3 linked regions of the Caenorhabditis elegans genome follow. The protein of the gene in region 1 purifies or fractionates together with the protein of each later gene. This does not show direct contact. Each region holds a gene or a part of one and is shown in the gene's direction. Other genes may lie near its edges.

The links.
Region 2: the proteins of bath-15 (region 1) and Y106G6E.4 fractionate together in Caenorhabditis elegans (co-fractionation; one large-scale study listed by BioGRID). This does not show direct contact.
Region 3: the proteins of bath-15 (region 1) and F59A6.12 fractionate together in Caenorhabditis elegans (co-fractionation; one large-scale study listed by BioGRID). This does not show direct contact.

Annotation. Positions count from the first base shown.
Region 1 is NC_003281.10:7,773,317-7,778,058, reverse strand, and holds bath-15 (BTB domain-containing protein), read left to right. Parts: upstream 1-2,025; 5' UTR 2,026-2,044; coding exon 2,045-2,157; intron 2,158-2,199; coding exon 2,200-2,581; intron 2,582-2,632; coding exon 2,633-2,780; intron 2,781-2,825; coding exon 2,826-2,977; intron 2,978-3,032; coding exon 3,033-3,179; 3' UTR 3,180-3,382; downstream 3,383-4,742. Other genes in the region: Homeobox protein mab-5, read left to right, coding at 668-790; ZK686.1 (uncharacterized protein), read right to left, coding at 4,396-4,433, 4,478-4,574. UniProt on the Caenorhabditis elegans protein: Probable substrate-specific adapter of an E3 ubiquitin-protein ligase complex which mediates the ubiquitination and subsequent proteasomal degradation of target proteins.
Region 2 is NC_003279.8:10,220,635-10,225,256, reverse strand, and holds Y106G6E.4 (putative 5-formyltetrahydrofolate cyclo-ligase), read left to right. Parts: upstream 1-2,478; coding exon 2,479-2,718; intron 2,719-3,038; coding exon 3,039-3,171; intron 3,172-3,219; coding exon 3,220-3,467; 3' UTR 3,468-3,615; downstream 3,616-4,622. Other genes in the region: ced-12 (Cell death abnormality protein 12), read left to right, coding at 572-1,105, 1,152-1,502, 1,548-1,774, 1,826-2,063, 2,143-2,284. UniProt on the Caenorhabditis elegans protein: Contributes to tetrahydrofolate metabolism. Helps regulate carbon flow through the folate-dependent one-carbon metabolic network that supplies carbon for the biosynthesis of purines, thymidine and amino acids.
Region 3 is NC_003280.10:5,010,516-5,014,495, reverse strand, and holds F59A6.12 (C6 domain-containing protein), read left to right. Parts: upstream 1-2,417; 5' UTR 2,418-2,439; coding exon 2,440-2,497; intron 2,498-2,546; coding exon 2,547-2,722; intron 2,723-2,764; coding exon 2,765-2,908; 3' UTR 2,909-2,973; downstream 2,974-3,980. Other genes in the region: F59A6.3 (Sushi domain-containing protein), read right to left, coding at 3,317-3,354, 3,405-3,702, 3,754-3,876, 3,922-3,965.

The DNA of each region.
Region 1 (4,742 bases):
ATTTTAGTTTATATGGCAATAAACAAAATAACAACAGTTGTACCAAAATTTCTTGGTCAGACTTCTGAACACATTTTAGAACAATTATAGTATTTTTTTATTTTTCATACACTCAAAATATTGACAAAAAGTTTGTTCACTTCTAGTCTTTTCCAAAAGAAAATTCCAAAATTTTTTTGAGGTGGCTCGAATTTTTTCAAGCCTAAATTATCATAAGAACGTGTAATAACTACCGACAGATTTAATGCATAATGAATGATGATTTATTTTAAACAAGAATAGGGAATTATTCTTCAATTTTTTAAAATAATTTTTCTATTAAAAAGTTTTAATGGTTTTTTCGAAAATTCTTATTGCAAACACAATTTTAAAACCAAAAATTGTAGTTTCTTACTGATAATCTAGATAACAAAAAAGCAAAGTAGAATAATCACGTGGAGTCAAAAAGTCCCATTTTGCTTTGATCTTCGAAAAAATGCGGGAGAAGTGACGCAGACATCTGATCTGATTTCGCATGGTTAAGACTGTGCTGACGTCACAATTTTTCTGGGAAAATATTCCCGCATTTTTCGTAGATCAAACCGCAATGAGACAGCCTGACACCACGTGAATAATCTGTTTTGTTTTAATAAATAAGTATTTAATAGATACAATTAACTTTTTGCAGGTAAAAATCTGGTTCCAAAATCGTCGTATGAAACACAAAAAAGAGGCAAAAGGAGAAGGTGGAAGCAATGAATCAGATGAAGAATCAAATCAAGATGAGCAAAATGAACAACATTCTTCTTGATTTTCACTTTTTTTGGTCAGAATCTAATTTGAATTTCTTTTTACCTCGTTTCCGGTCGCTTTTCATTGTTTTGCTCCCATTTTTGTCATTTTCCTTTGATTTTTTGCATTCTTCATCGGTGATATATTGCTTTTAAACGACCTGAAAGGATTCCACGCCCTTTCGACGGGTCTTTGTTTTTATTGATTATTTCTCAATTTCTTCCTTTGCTTCTTTGGGATTTGATGATCTCAACCTTTGTCTCGAAAATTGTTTTTTACACACTGCTAGCCTATTTTTTGATTTTTTTTTCTTGAAAATTTTTCTACAGTAACATATCTGTTTGCTTTGATTTTTGGAGATGAAATTGATCTGTCATTATGTTTCACAGAGGACCTCACAAATTGAAGGACATTTGTGAAACGACACATATTTCACTGTGCCAGATGCAAAAGAAGATTGTTGATATACCATGTAGTTATAAAAAAGTGAACTGAGTTACGTCACACTAAAAAATTATATCGTCGATTTCTAATGAACATAAGAATCTGTAAAACTGGGCCACAAAGTGTGAATATGTACTGGATGATTGGTAGTAAAGCTTCATTGATTGCCTCCAAATAATACCTTAGTAACACTTGAAACTTTAGAAATAATTATATAAACCTGAAAATATCTTTTCTACAGTACCTCGCAAAGAAACTGCAGGTTTGAGATGTCCAATTTCTCGGAAAGTTGATTAGCTTTTTTAATTTTTTTAAAATTTAGTCATTGATTCACTGGTACTAACTAAATATCTCTGTGAAAATAAATGTATTTTTTGTTACTCATCTTTAAAAATTCGTCAACCAGGTTTATTCTTTTGCAAGTTCAAATATTTGTATATACTTTTGCAAGTTCAAATATTTGAGCAATATTGACTCCTTTTTTTATTAAGGAGTCAATATTGCTCAAATATTTGAACATTGGCATTATTTTCCGAAGTAGAAACATAATTAAATACTTTATGCGTTTTAGAAGGATCTATCGATGGTAAATAGTATAAATGCTGCATTTCGAACAAATAGTCAGCGAACTACGGTAGATGAGAGAGTACGCAATGAACATAATGCATTCTAATTTACGCACATTAGATTTTTTGTAATCTTTTTTTTTTCGTCAAACTTTGCAAAGTTATCGTTTTTCTAGCGGACAAATGACTTTTAATTTAAAAATTATTTGATTTTTTCGACTTTTTGAGTTTTAAAAATGTTTAATTTCAGCAAACTCTTCAAAATGGTCGCCGCAAGCAAGGAATTCGTGTTTCATCACACTTTCAAGGATGTTTCACAATTGGAAGATGGCGATTTTTTTAAAAGCCCCGAAGAAATTCATTACAATGCGGAATGGTAAGTCTTATCCAAGTCATAGATTACATAAAATATCTTTAGTTTCAGGTTTATATTGGTTATTCGCACGAAAGATCAACTGGAAGCGTACCTACACTGTGACAATGAGAAAGATGACAACGTCGCCTGGACAGTCGACGCCGAATTCAGCTTAAAAATAGCTTCATCATCAGGAAGTTATGCAATGAAATTCCAAAAGGGATGTTTCGATGGATTTGGACTGGGATGGAATGATTTTGTCAGTTGGGACTCATTGACAGAAGATTTTCTATACGATAATAGTTTTACTATTGAAGCATGTGTGAAGATCACAAAAATGACAGGATTCTCGAAAGATGTGCTCAGAAGCTTCGATGAATCAGAAAAAAGATTTTCCGATGTGATCCTTGTAGTTGGAGACGAGAAGTTTTATGTTTTGAAACTAGTAGGTTTTTTTTACAATCGAATTTTCCATTCAATATTCAATATTTTTCAGTTCCTGGCGTCTCATTCTTCATATTTCAATGCACTTTTTCTTGGAAAATTCAAAGAAGCCGATCAATCAGAGGTTACACTCCAAAACATCGATCCGACCGATTTTCAGAGCCTTTTGGAGGTTCTATATGGAGAACCTGCGATTGATGGTTAGATATTGAATTGATTTTAAATTAAAATAATTAAATTTTCAGATGGTACCATCGATGGAGTTCTTCTACTTGCCCACATGCTCGATGTTACCTTGGCAATTCGAAAATGCGAGGAGTTTTTGATCGAAAAGTCGATGAAATCGATGAGAGAGCTGTTAAAAATGGCTAACCAATATCAGCTGGAGAATTTAAAAGTAAAATTTTATTTTTTGAAAATTCCTGAAAACTAAAATAAATTTTGATTTTCAGACCGTTTGTATCTCGAAAATCAACACGATCGATGAGATTGAAGCTGCAATGGCTTATAATCCGGAAGAAATGGACCCGATTGTGCTGGCGACTCTCCTCAAAAAATCCACGGCTCTTCATCGATCTGCGATTTCTGATTCAGTATAATCATTTTTTTCCTGTTTTAGCGCTAATATATTATTGTGATTTAGTCTTTGATTCGCTGGTACTAACTAAATATCTCTGTGAAAATATATGTATTTTTCTTTTACTCATCTTTAAAAATTCGTCAACCAGGTTTATTAAGGAGTCAATATTGCTCAAATATTTGAACATTGGTCTTATTTTCCGGAGTAAAAACATAATAAAAAAACTTTATGCGTTTTAGAAGATTGAAATTGACTGAGTTGGTCAATGGCACAGTCTCCTCCGATGGAAATTTGCATTAGCGCGCACTTGCATTTTTGTTATTTTCATGAATTATTTTGCACTGAAAAAAATGATGGTTTTTTGTGACTTGAATTTCTCTTCGAAACGGTGTTTTTACGTTTTCATTTTAGGTATCAAATGTTAAGCAGGAAAAAAACTGTTTGTTGCATCATTTTGGGAATTTTTAATGAAAAACTGAACGCGCTGATACAAAAATTGTCAACAATTACACTCGAAAGTTAGAAAAAAAAAATTATTTTTTATATTCTTTTCGGTTATTAACGCTCTGTGCATGTAAAAATAGTTTCTAATTGTTATTCGCATGTCTGGCTACAATATGGTCAATTTCGGATGGATATCAATGCTTAATTTATGGTTTCATTACGATTTCACGGAACAGCCTGGCCAACAGTTTTCTGAAATAGGGAAAAATGCTCAAAGAAGATGCAACTGCAGACAAATTCGATTCAATTTGCTTTCGTAATGCTCAAAAATCAAAAAATCCTTATAAACTCGTTAATTTTTATAAAATTTGTGTGAATTCTGTCGAAGAAACAACATTCAATGACTCGGATTTCAGGCTCTACTTTTTCAAACAACGCGGCCGATCTCGAAGGAGGAAAGCCGTTCGGAAAGGTTAGCCCACTTTCCAGTATTCACCAACACGACAACTTTATCAACAGATAGTCGAAACGTATTGATCGGTTCTGAATCTAAATAAATTTAAAAAATCCATTTGAAAAAGCCAAATCATTTGAGATTCTTCCTTCTGAGTACAAAGTAATTTATTAGACAAAAATAGGACATCGGTACTTCTTTATGTACATTAAAATATATTAATGATGAAAAAATATTAAAATTGTCCGTGATATTCGAAAGTGAAGGTGCAGAGATAGCGGAAATCCAAGGGCAGTGCCAAGCTTGTGTTTGTTTCCGTTGTAGTGGTGAACTCCAGCTATGACGAGCATGACGGATCCTTCCAATTCGAAAATTCTGAAACGTTAAATTATGAGCCATATTTAAAATAAATTTTTTACCTCGGTGCTTAGTGTTGATGACAAGCTTGGCATTTTCGTTGAGAAGCGACTTCAGCTTCTGCTCGTAAAGGACGTATTGTCCTGTCTTCATAACCATGGAGAGTCGGAAGTTGATGTTCTCAGCATTGGTGAACCTGAAATAATAGAGATATTTGAGAAATGATTTTTGGTTTAACTTCATAATCTCTAAACAAAATATTACAGGAACACAAATCCCCGAGAATGCGTCTTTTGCAACATATCGGAGGCGTAAAATATCTCGTAG
Region 2 (4,622 bases), on another chromosome or scaffold:
CAAAAATTACAATCTTTCAAAAAACACGAATGACTAAAACTTTCTATTTTCTAAAAAAAAAACTACTTTTTAAAAAGAATATCAAGAATTCCAACAAAAAATCCAAAAATCGGATTTTCCCCAAAAAAAACCATTTTTCTAGAAAAAAATTTCAAAATACAATTTCACACCAAAACTACCGAACAATCTTTTATTTTACAAAAAAAACGGAAGAAAAAATCACAAACCATCAGAAAAAAAAATTTGCAAAAAAATTAATTTTAGCCAAAAAAAAACTAACTATTTAATCCTCTTCACATAGAAATAAAACCAAGAAAAAAAATTTTTTGCTAAATATAATACCGAAAAAAAGTCACAATCATACATTTTTCAAAACAAAAACATAAAAATCAACTTCATCAACAAAAATTCCAAAAATTCATTTTTGCCAAAAAAAAACCTATCAGTTTAGCTTAAAATACTTAAAATATAGATTTTTCCAATTTTTTTAATCCAAAAAAATCAACAAAACAACTCCAAAGTACAAAAGAAATTAGAAGTACCATTTTTCTATTTATTGTATAATTTACAGTGACGATACAACTCGTGATTGGATTCTCGAAGAAGTTCCAATAGAGACTCTCATTCGACACGTTGAAAAATCAGATGAACGAATTGCTCTTTGTGCACTTTCACTAATGAATTCAATGATAAGAAGATGTCCTGATGATGAAAAACGATTTGAACTTATTAAATCTTTAGAAGTCGTTCCATTCCGTAATGCTGTACACAGTTCTCTTCTACGTGGTGGTGGTGGTGTTCGAAATCTGAATGCTATTGAACAACTTGTTGAGGTTCAAAGGAGTCTGATTAGTGCATATGAAACTTCACCTCCTACTGATGCTGAAGTTCAGAAAATTCTTGATATTGAATCCAGTGAGGATGTTTCCGAGGAGATCAGAGAAATGTGGAAATCACAAATTGGGGAACACCGATGTGGACGGTTGGCTGCAATTTCGATGGTTCAATTTGCAGAAAAAAGTCCGCAAGATCTGAGAATGCTAATTTCGGAGAATACAATGAGGATTGAAGGAGGAAAATGGCAACTGATTCCAATGTGGATGAGGTTTTTTTGCAAACGTAAAGATGTTCTGATGATTTTTTAAATTCAGGTGCTGTGACATTGCCGCAGAATTGTTCAGAGTAATACCTGGTCGTGATGAGTTGGATCGTTTGATTGTAGTTCTCTTTTCCACGGAGACTCCATTTCCAGCTGTATTCGCATGTATTGTACACCTTTTCCATCGAACATGGCGTGAGATGCAGGCAAAAGGAGGTGAAATGGAGAAAGTTGCGTGTGTTGTACTGGAACAGTTACGGCATGTGCTGAAAAGACGGGAAATACAAGATGTAGAAGAACTATCTGCGGATTTGGAGACTTTTTCGTATAGGGCAATGCAAGAAATTTGGAGAGAGGAACAATTGGGAAAGGAAAATATTCAATTACATAGTGAAGCTGTGATGTAAGTCTGAAAATTCCAATAACTTATTCGTATACATATTTTCAGACAACTAAAATCGAAATTGCGGCCAAAAATGGAGGAATTGGTTCGAATAAATCATCTAAACTATTTGAAGTTAGGCGCCGTTTTTCGAAAACCACAGAAAAGTAAATCCCTCGCAAAGCTCGCCTTCTGGCATTGGAAGCTCGATGCATCGGAGAAAATGCTCACTATAACTGGATGTGATGGTGAGAACTATGTGGAAGGTGTGCAGAGAGATGATATTCGGCAAGGTTGGGGGAATATTGAATTAGTTCTCAAATAATAAATTAATTTATTTTCAGTTTGGATCAAAGATATTGCTGATGTAACAAATAATGATGAGATTGATAGAAAAGCAAGCTCATCTCGATTCACTTCTTCTCCATCTACACAAATGTTAAGAGGGATTCGTGTACAATTAAAAACAACAAATGATATGAAAGAAGGCGAAGTTTTAATGGCATTGACATCCGATGAAACTCAATCTGTTATATGGCTTGAAGGTCTTGCTGAATTGATTGGGAGCAAGGCAGTTAAAAGGTATCTAGACATTGGTTACTGTAGTTACAGTAACCTGAAGAATAGGAAGCCCCGAAAATACCAATTGAAATATTTTCAGTGAAACCGATGCAATGGTTGAACGAATGCTGAAAATGGAGCTACGAGTTCGCCTTCTCAATGTGAAACTCACGAACCCCGAGGAGAAACCAGAAATTCCACCGATCCCTGACGATATCAAAAGCTTTATTTCAAAGTTTTAATCATATTCAAGCTTTATCATTCTTACGTGCATTTTACCATATTGAAAGGCAAAACATTTCCATGTGCATAATAAATTTTGTAATTTATGCCTATTACTGTGTATTTAACTTAATTTGAATAACGAGCCATTAACTACAGGCCACTAACAGTTTTCTGAATCTCTTGAAAACAAATTTTTGACCAACATTTTCAGATGAGTGCTATAAAAGAGGTAAAATCAGAGCTCAGGCAGTTTATGAAGACATTGCTCGGAAAAATTTCGAAAGAAGAAACTCAACGTCAAACAGAGGCGGTTTTTGAAAAAATAATTGAATCGAAATGGTTTCAAGAGAGCAAGAGATTGTCAGTTTATGTTAGTACATCGGGAGAAATACAAACTGATTCGATTATTCAAAAAGCGTTGGAAATGGGAAAAGAAGTTTTCATTCCACAGGTAAAATTTATTTTGAAACAGATGCGCAATAGATGTTAAGATGTAGGCATGTAGGTAGGCACATAGGCAGGCAGAAATAAAGCAGGTAGGCCGACAAGAAGTAGGCAGATATGAGCTATGAATAAAGGCAGGCAGGCACGTAGCCAGGCAGAACTAAGGCACTTGCGAGGTAGGCGTAAAGTAGGCCCCTAGACATGAAGGCTGTAATCGTTTGTAGTAGGCAGGCAATTAGTACCTAGGCAGATATTATATATGAATCCAGGGAGACAGGCACGTACAGCAAGTATAATTTATTGAAGTCACAAATGTAAAAATTTCAGTTCACGAAGGGCTCAACTGCAATGGATATGGTTCGAGTTCCGGATCAAACTGCTTTTGACAATCTTCCTTCAACACTTTGGGGAATCAGACAGCCAGAACCGAAATGGAAATGGCAAAGCTATCATGAAACAGGTGTGACTGCTTTTTAATAATATAACTCCAATTTATAAGTACTTACAGGACCACTGGATTTGATCCTTGCACCCGGCGTTGCCTTCTCACCATATGGACTTCGTTGTGGTCATGGAAAAGGATATTACGATCGCTTCTTCTCCACTCATCACAAACATTTTCCAGAAAACTCCCCAAAAAAGATAGGATTGGCTCTTCGTGAGCAAATTATTGGTACAATTCCTATTTCTGAAACTGATGTTGAACTTGATGAGGTTATCTATGAAGGAGAAACTATTATTTTTGATACTATTTAAGGCTTCACACTCTAAATAATATTCCCGATTGTGATATTGAGATTTTTTTTTAAATTTCTCTCGCCAATTTATAAGTGATTTTTCAGACATTCCTCAAATGGTTTTGTGATACAATTTCTTGCATTTGTTAACTGAATAAACTTTTTTGAACTACAGTTATATATAATTTTTTCATAGATTATTCAGTCATTAGTTAGAAGCATTCTAGCCTTCCGAGGTGTTTCAATTTTAGGTCCCACCACGAAAACTTGTGGAGATGTTCTGAAATGCCCCATAGAACTGCATAGCATTGTCCCAAAAGCCTGTAAATATATCTGAAAACTTGCTCACACAAAACGAAAGGATTCAAAGGCCTGAAGACATTAATTAGCAAAAATTAGATACATTCAATGGTTTCACTAATATCACACAGTTCAGATAGACCGAGATGAGGACTGATGTAGTTAAATCGATATATGATAGAAGCCCTGTAATTTACATGAAGAGCAACTACACGAAACTGAACAAAAATATTCATTTAAAGTCAATACATAGTAATCATTGTTCACTCTCAAACTTGTTGAACACGAGGTCAATTTTGGTCTCCCGATCCGCACTGCAAATATTATTATTTCAAAAAGGTTATCATGATCAACATACCTTTGCTTTTTCTCCCTTGCTTGACGAGTGGTCACTCTGACTTCGAATCCCTGGAAAGCTTGAAAGGTGGAACATTATCATATATCATATACTCTACATACCTCTGCTCTAATAGCTCCAATTCTACGGCTCAAGTGTTTCCAGCAACCTTCATCAAAAGCCAATCTCTTCTTCATTGTCCACATGAATCCATTCGAGTGTTCAAATGCATTTTTTGCGTGAAGAACTGATTGAGCAGGATCTCTGTTTTCTCCAGCAAGAAGAAAAGCAAAATGTGGATTGGTTTCATCGAGGACGAATTCTTGCTCTGCTTTCGAGTCTTCTTTTTTCTTTTCCTTATCTGGAGATGCCATTTCTTTTAGTTCCTTTGAATCACTTTTATTTCCACATGCAACACTTCTATCTTCTGACATTGTCTCATTAATCAATGGTTTTTCAGGTTCCTTTTCCTCCTTCTTGATCTCTTCCGCCAAAACCATCTCAACACTGTTCAATTCCTCCTTTTCAGATTCCAAA
Region 3 (3,980 bases), on another chromosome or scaffold:
TGTTTGGTAATGGTTTGGTAATGGCACACTGTAGATTCAAGGTTTTCAAAAAGTTCAATTAATTTACTGAAAGTTCAGCTTGCTTATGATTTGGCAGTAGGCACGAAGGAGGCGTAAGCAGCCTTCAAGACAATCAGGCATTTTTTGCGTCTTTGAGAAAAAAGAATCAAATAGTGTTCTGCATTGAATTAAATAGCTGGAAAAAAATCAAGAAGGTCCAAAGATTATTCAATTAGATATACAAAAAATTGCGAAATAAATTGTACAACTTTCAAAGGGTATGAAAATAATTGAATCAAATATTTGTGGTTTGATTTTTGAATAAATTTGAGAATACACAACGAACTGCAATATTTGTGAGACAGAAAAACGTGTGATGAAAATGGAGTTTGTGCCGCCTCGTCTGGAACAAAACTTAATTTTGTCTGAGAATACACGCTCCAATATCTCTTGGGACCGCTTTCACGATGAATTGAGAAATGAGGAAAAAGGCGTGGGCATCAACATTTTTTACTGAAAAAAAGGAAATTGGTTAGCCAACTTAGCAGGTGGAAGATGTTGGGGAAATATATAAGACCCTGAAAATAAAATCACCTGAAATCTTCAAAAGTTAAATTGAATCAAAAATTGAGTTTTTATTTTTGGTTATTTTTTTGCTGAGAATTTCGTTGAATATCATGGTAAGGATTTGGATTTTGAAAATTCAAAATGTGTTATCAACCCAAAGATCAGTTCCTGAAAAAAGGAGATGTTTGAAAAACAAACGTTTACAAACAGGAAAAAGGTCATATTAATATCCGATTAAATTTTTGCCTTGAACTTTAAAACTACTTTGGAACTTATAACTAAACTTCCGTCAAATTGAAGATATGAAATGAGATGCTTTCTTGTCGGAATATTCAAAAAATTTGAAAAATATCTAGTGAAACATTTTTTAGAGATTTTTGATAGGGCCGAACAGAGTAAGATGGGTTTTTCATGTTTTTTCATGCATAGTTATGCTGAAGCCAAAGACCTGTGCGGCAATAGATTAAAAATATATTTTCAAAATCATTCCTAAAATTTAACTCTTTCACGGATTTTAAAAATCATTAAATTAATTTATTAACTTTCTGAACTTTATGTGACGTGGCTATTGTAAAGATCTGGGACAAAGATAAGAGAGAAATTTGCTATAAATTGAGCAGAGTTTACCATAATCTTCACTGTAAGTTTCCACACTCTACAAAGAAGTCGCCAGTGCCCAATCCGTCCCACCAGGAGATATCCAGACCCAGCCGGGTACGAAGATCGTCTTCAATGCACCATACGATGACAAGCACACCTACCACATCAAGGTGATCAACTCCTCGGCTCGCCGTATTGGATACGGTATCAAGACCACCAATATGAAGAGACTTGGAGTTGATCCACCATGTGGAGTTTTGGACCCAAAGGAAGCAGTCCTTCTTGCTGTTTCCTGTGATGCCTTCGCCTTTGGACAGTAGGACACTAACAACGACCGTATTACTGTTGAGTGGACCAACACCCCGGATGGAGCTGCAAAGCAATTCCGCCGTGAATGGTTCCAAGGAGACGGTATGGTTCGTCGCAAGAACCTTCCAATTGAGTACAACCCATAGAGCCCTCTTCGACCTTGCTCAATAAATGAATTTTGAAAGCTCGTTGTTTTTTCTCTTGTTAAAAATGTTTAGGTTTAAAAGTGCACCAAATTTGGTGGAGGTAGAGGTCCACTCCCAACCGAGTTCAACCCAAAGAAGGCTTGATAAGAAAACCCTCGAGTACAATCCATAGAGCCCTGCTTGATCTTATTTAATGAATGAATTTTGCAAGTTTCATTCTTTTGCTCTCTTCAAAATTTCAGCTTTTAAAACGTTTTCAAATGGTTTACATTTAACCCACAAGAGGCCGCTTGATATCTCTTCTCTGTTCATTGGCAAAGGCATAATACAATGACTTGAATCCTCTTTGTCTAAACTTGGTATATCCGATTGTGTGTTGGAAACGAGGTGTGGTCGGTTTGTTATGTATGACTTACGACCACTGGACGCAAAAGGTTTTATAATGCTCACCGATTTGCAGCAGCAGGTGCGGCGAGATTTCCTTCAAATTCATGATATGGAAAAATGCATTCCGATTAATTACTTGTATGATTTCGCAAAAAAATATGCTTACAGTAAAGAGCACTTGTATAAACAGAACTCCAATTTTGTTTTGAGGAAAGTTTGAATTTATGTATGTTTTAAAAATTTTCAGTATGGAAAGTTCAACTTTGTTTTTCCGTTGAATTTCTGTTCAATCTGTTCGTTTCAATAATTTTCATTTGAACACGATTAGTCATCGCTGTGCGTCAGCTTTTTTTGTTTCAAATTCCATAATAGAATGTGTTCAAATAGATGCTATAAAACCAAAATTTTGAAGAAAATTCACTGCAAAAACATGAATTATTTATTCGCTTTGGTTCTGTTACCACTTCCTGTTTCAATTTTGGGAAAAAGTAGGAAACATAAAAACATTTTTAATTTAACTATATCTATTAGTTCCAGAATGTTGCCAATTCCCGGCTTATTCATTTTCCGCTATGACAAATGTTACAAAAGAAGACTTTAAATGTTCTGAACCAGTTTCAGTGCTTTGTCAAATTGACACTAATGGGAGTGGATATGTTGCAGTTGGAATTTCTGGAAATTTAACGGAACAGGCAGATACAAAGCCTTTAGTCGTGAGAAAACTTTTTTGAATTTTAAAAATATACTTTTTCGAGATCAAAAAAGGTTCATCTTCAATCTCGGCGTCTCTTGTATGCGACACTTCTTCTCAAATGTGGAAAGTTGATAAGAAATCCGATAAATATGACAATATTGGTTGTATCATGAGATCTACTGGCGGAGTTTGGATTGTTTATTGAGTATTTGGAATAAAATATATTTTTCTTTCAAAAATAGGAAAATGAGTAATAAAATAAATACTAAACTTCACAGTACATTCATTTAAAAAAAAATATTTTTCCCAAGTTTTGACTGAAATTTATGAAGAAAAAACCATTAATTGGAACCGAAATGCATAATGATTGTGTCTGAATACCCTAAAAGATCACATTTAAACATTTTTCAGAATATTTTGAACAACAAAAGTGCACTACAAGTTACTTGCCTTTAAGTTGACCTACGCCTCTAAAATTAGGCGTTTCGGTGCCTAAGCTAAATAAATATTTTACCGATGTATTCAATATATTCACAAACTTTAATTGTCAAGTTTCTCAGAGTAACACAAATTAATTTATTTCCGGACATAGATTTAAAATTTTAACAAATCATTAAAGTCTTGTTGGCAATTTTAGTTCACTCTTTCCATCTGAAAAAGTCACACATTTGTTTTTAAACAATTTATACTTCAAAACTTACAAATACAATTCTCTGGTGATCCTGCCCATTTTCCTGTTTTCAAGCACTTATAGATCTTCACAGGTTGCAGTGCAATTTCAAAAACATAAGATTGCGGGCAAACTTGAGTGATGAGCTCTCCGACAGAATAACTGCTTTTGATTTGTGAAGAAGTTGGACTGGAAGTGTAGGTCAAGTTCAGGGATGGTTCGATGCAAGTGATAGAGGAATTTGTGTTGTTGTAAGAAACTGTGAATGTTGATGGTGATGTTGATGAATCAGAAGATCCAGAAGATGAATTGGTTGGAAGTGTTGAGCCCTGAAAATTGATTTTTCCTGGCTTTTCCAGTGATTTTTCTATATAACTTACAGATTTGCCATTGTTAACTGCTTGAGTTGTTCCATTTGCTGCAGACGTTGTATTTTGCGAGAAATTTTTCCCGGAAGATGTTGTCCCTCCTGATGAGTTTGAAGGTTTTGAGGTAAAAGTCACCTATAAAAATTTGATACCTAAAATAATACTTGTATGTGAAGTTACATTCCCTCCAAATGCACTTGAAATTGTTGCTGATGTCGTTGAACCTGAATTAGTTTTTA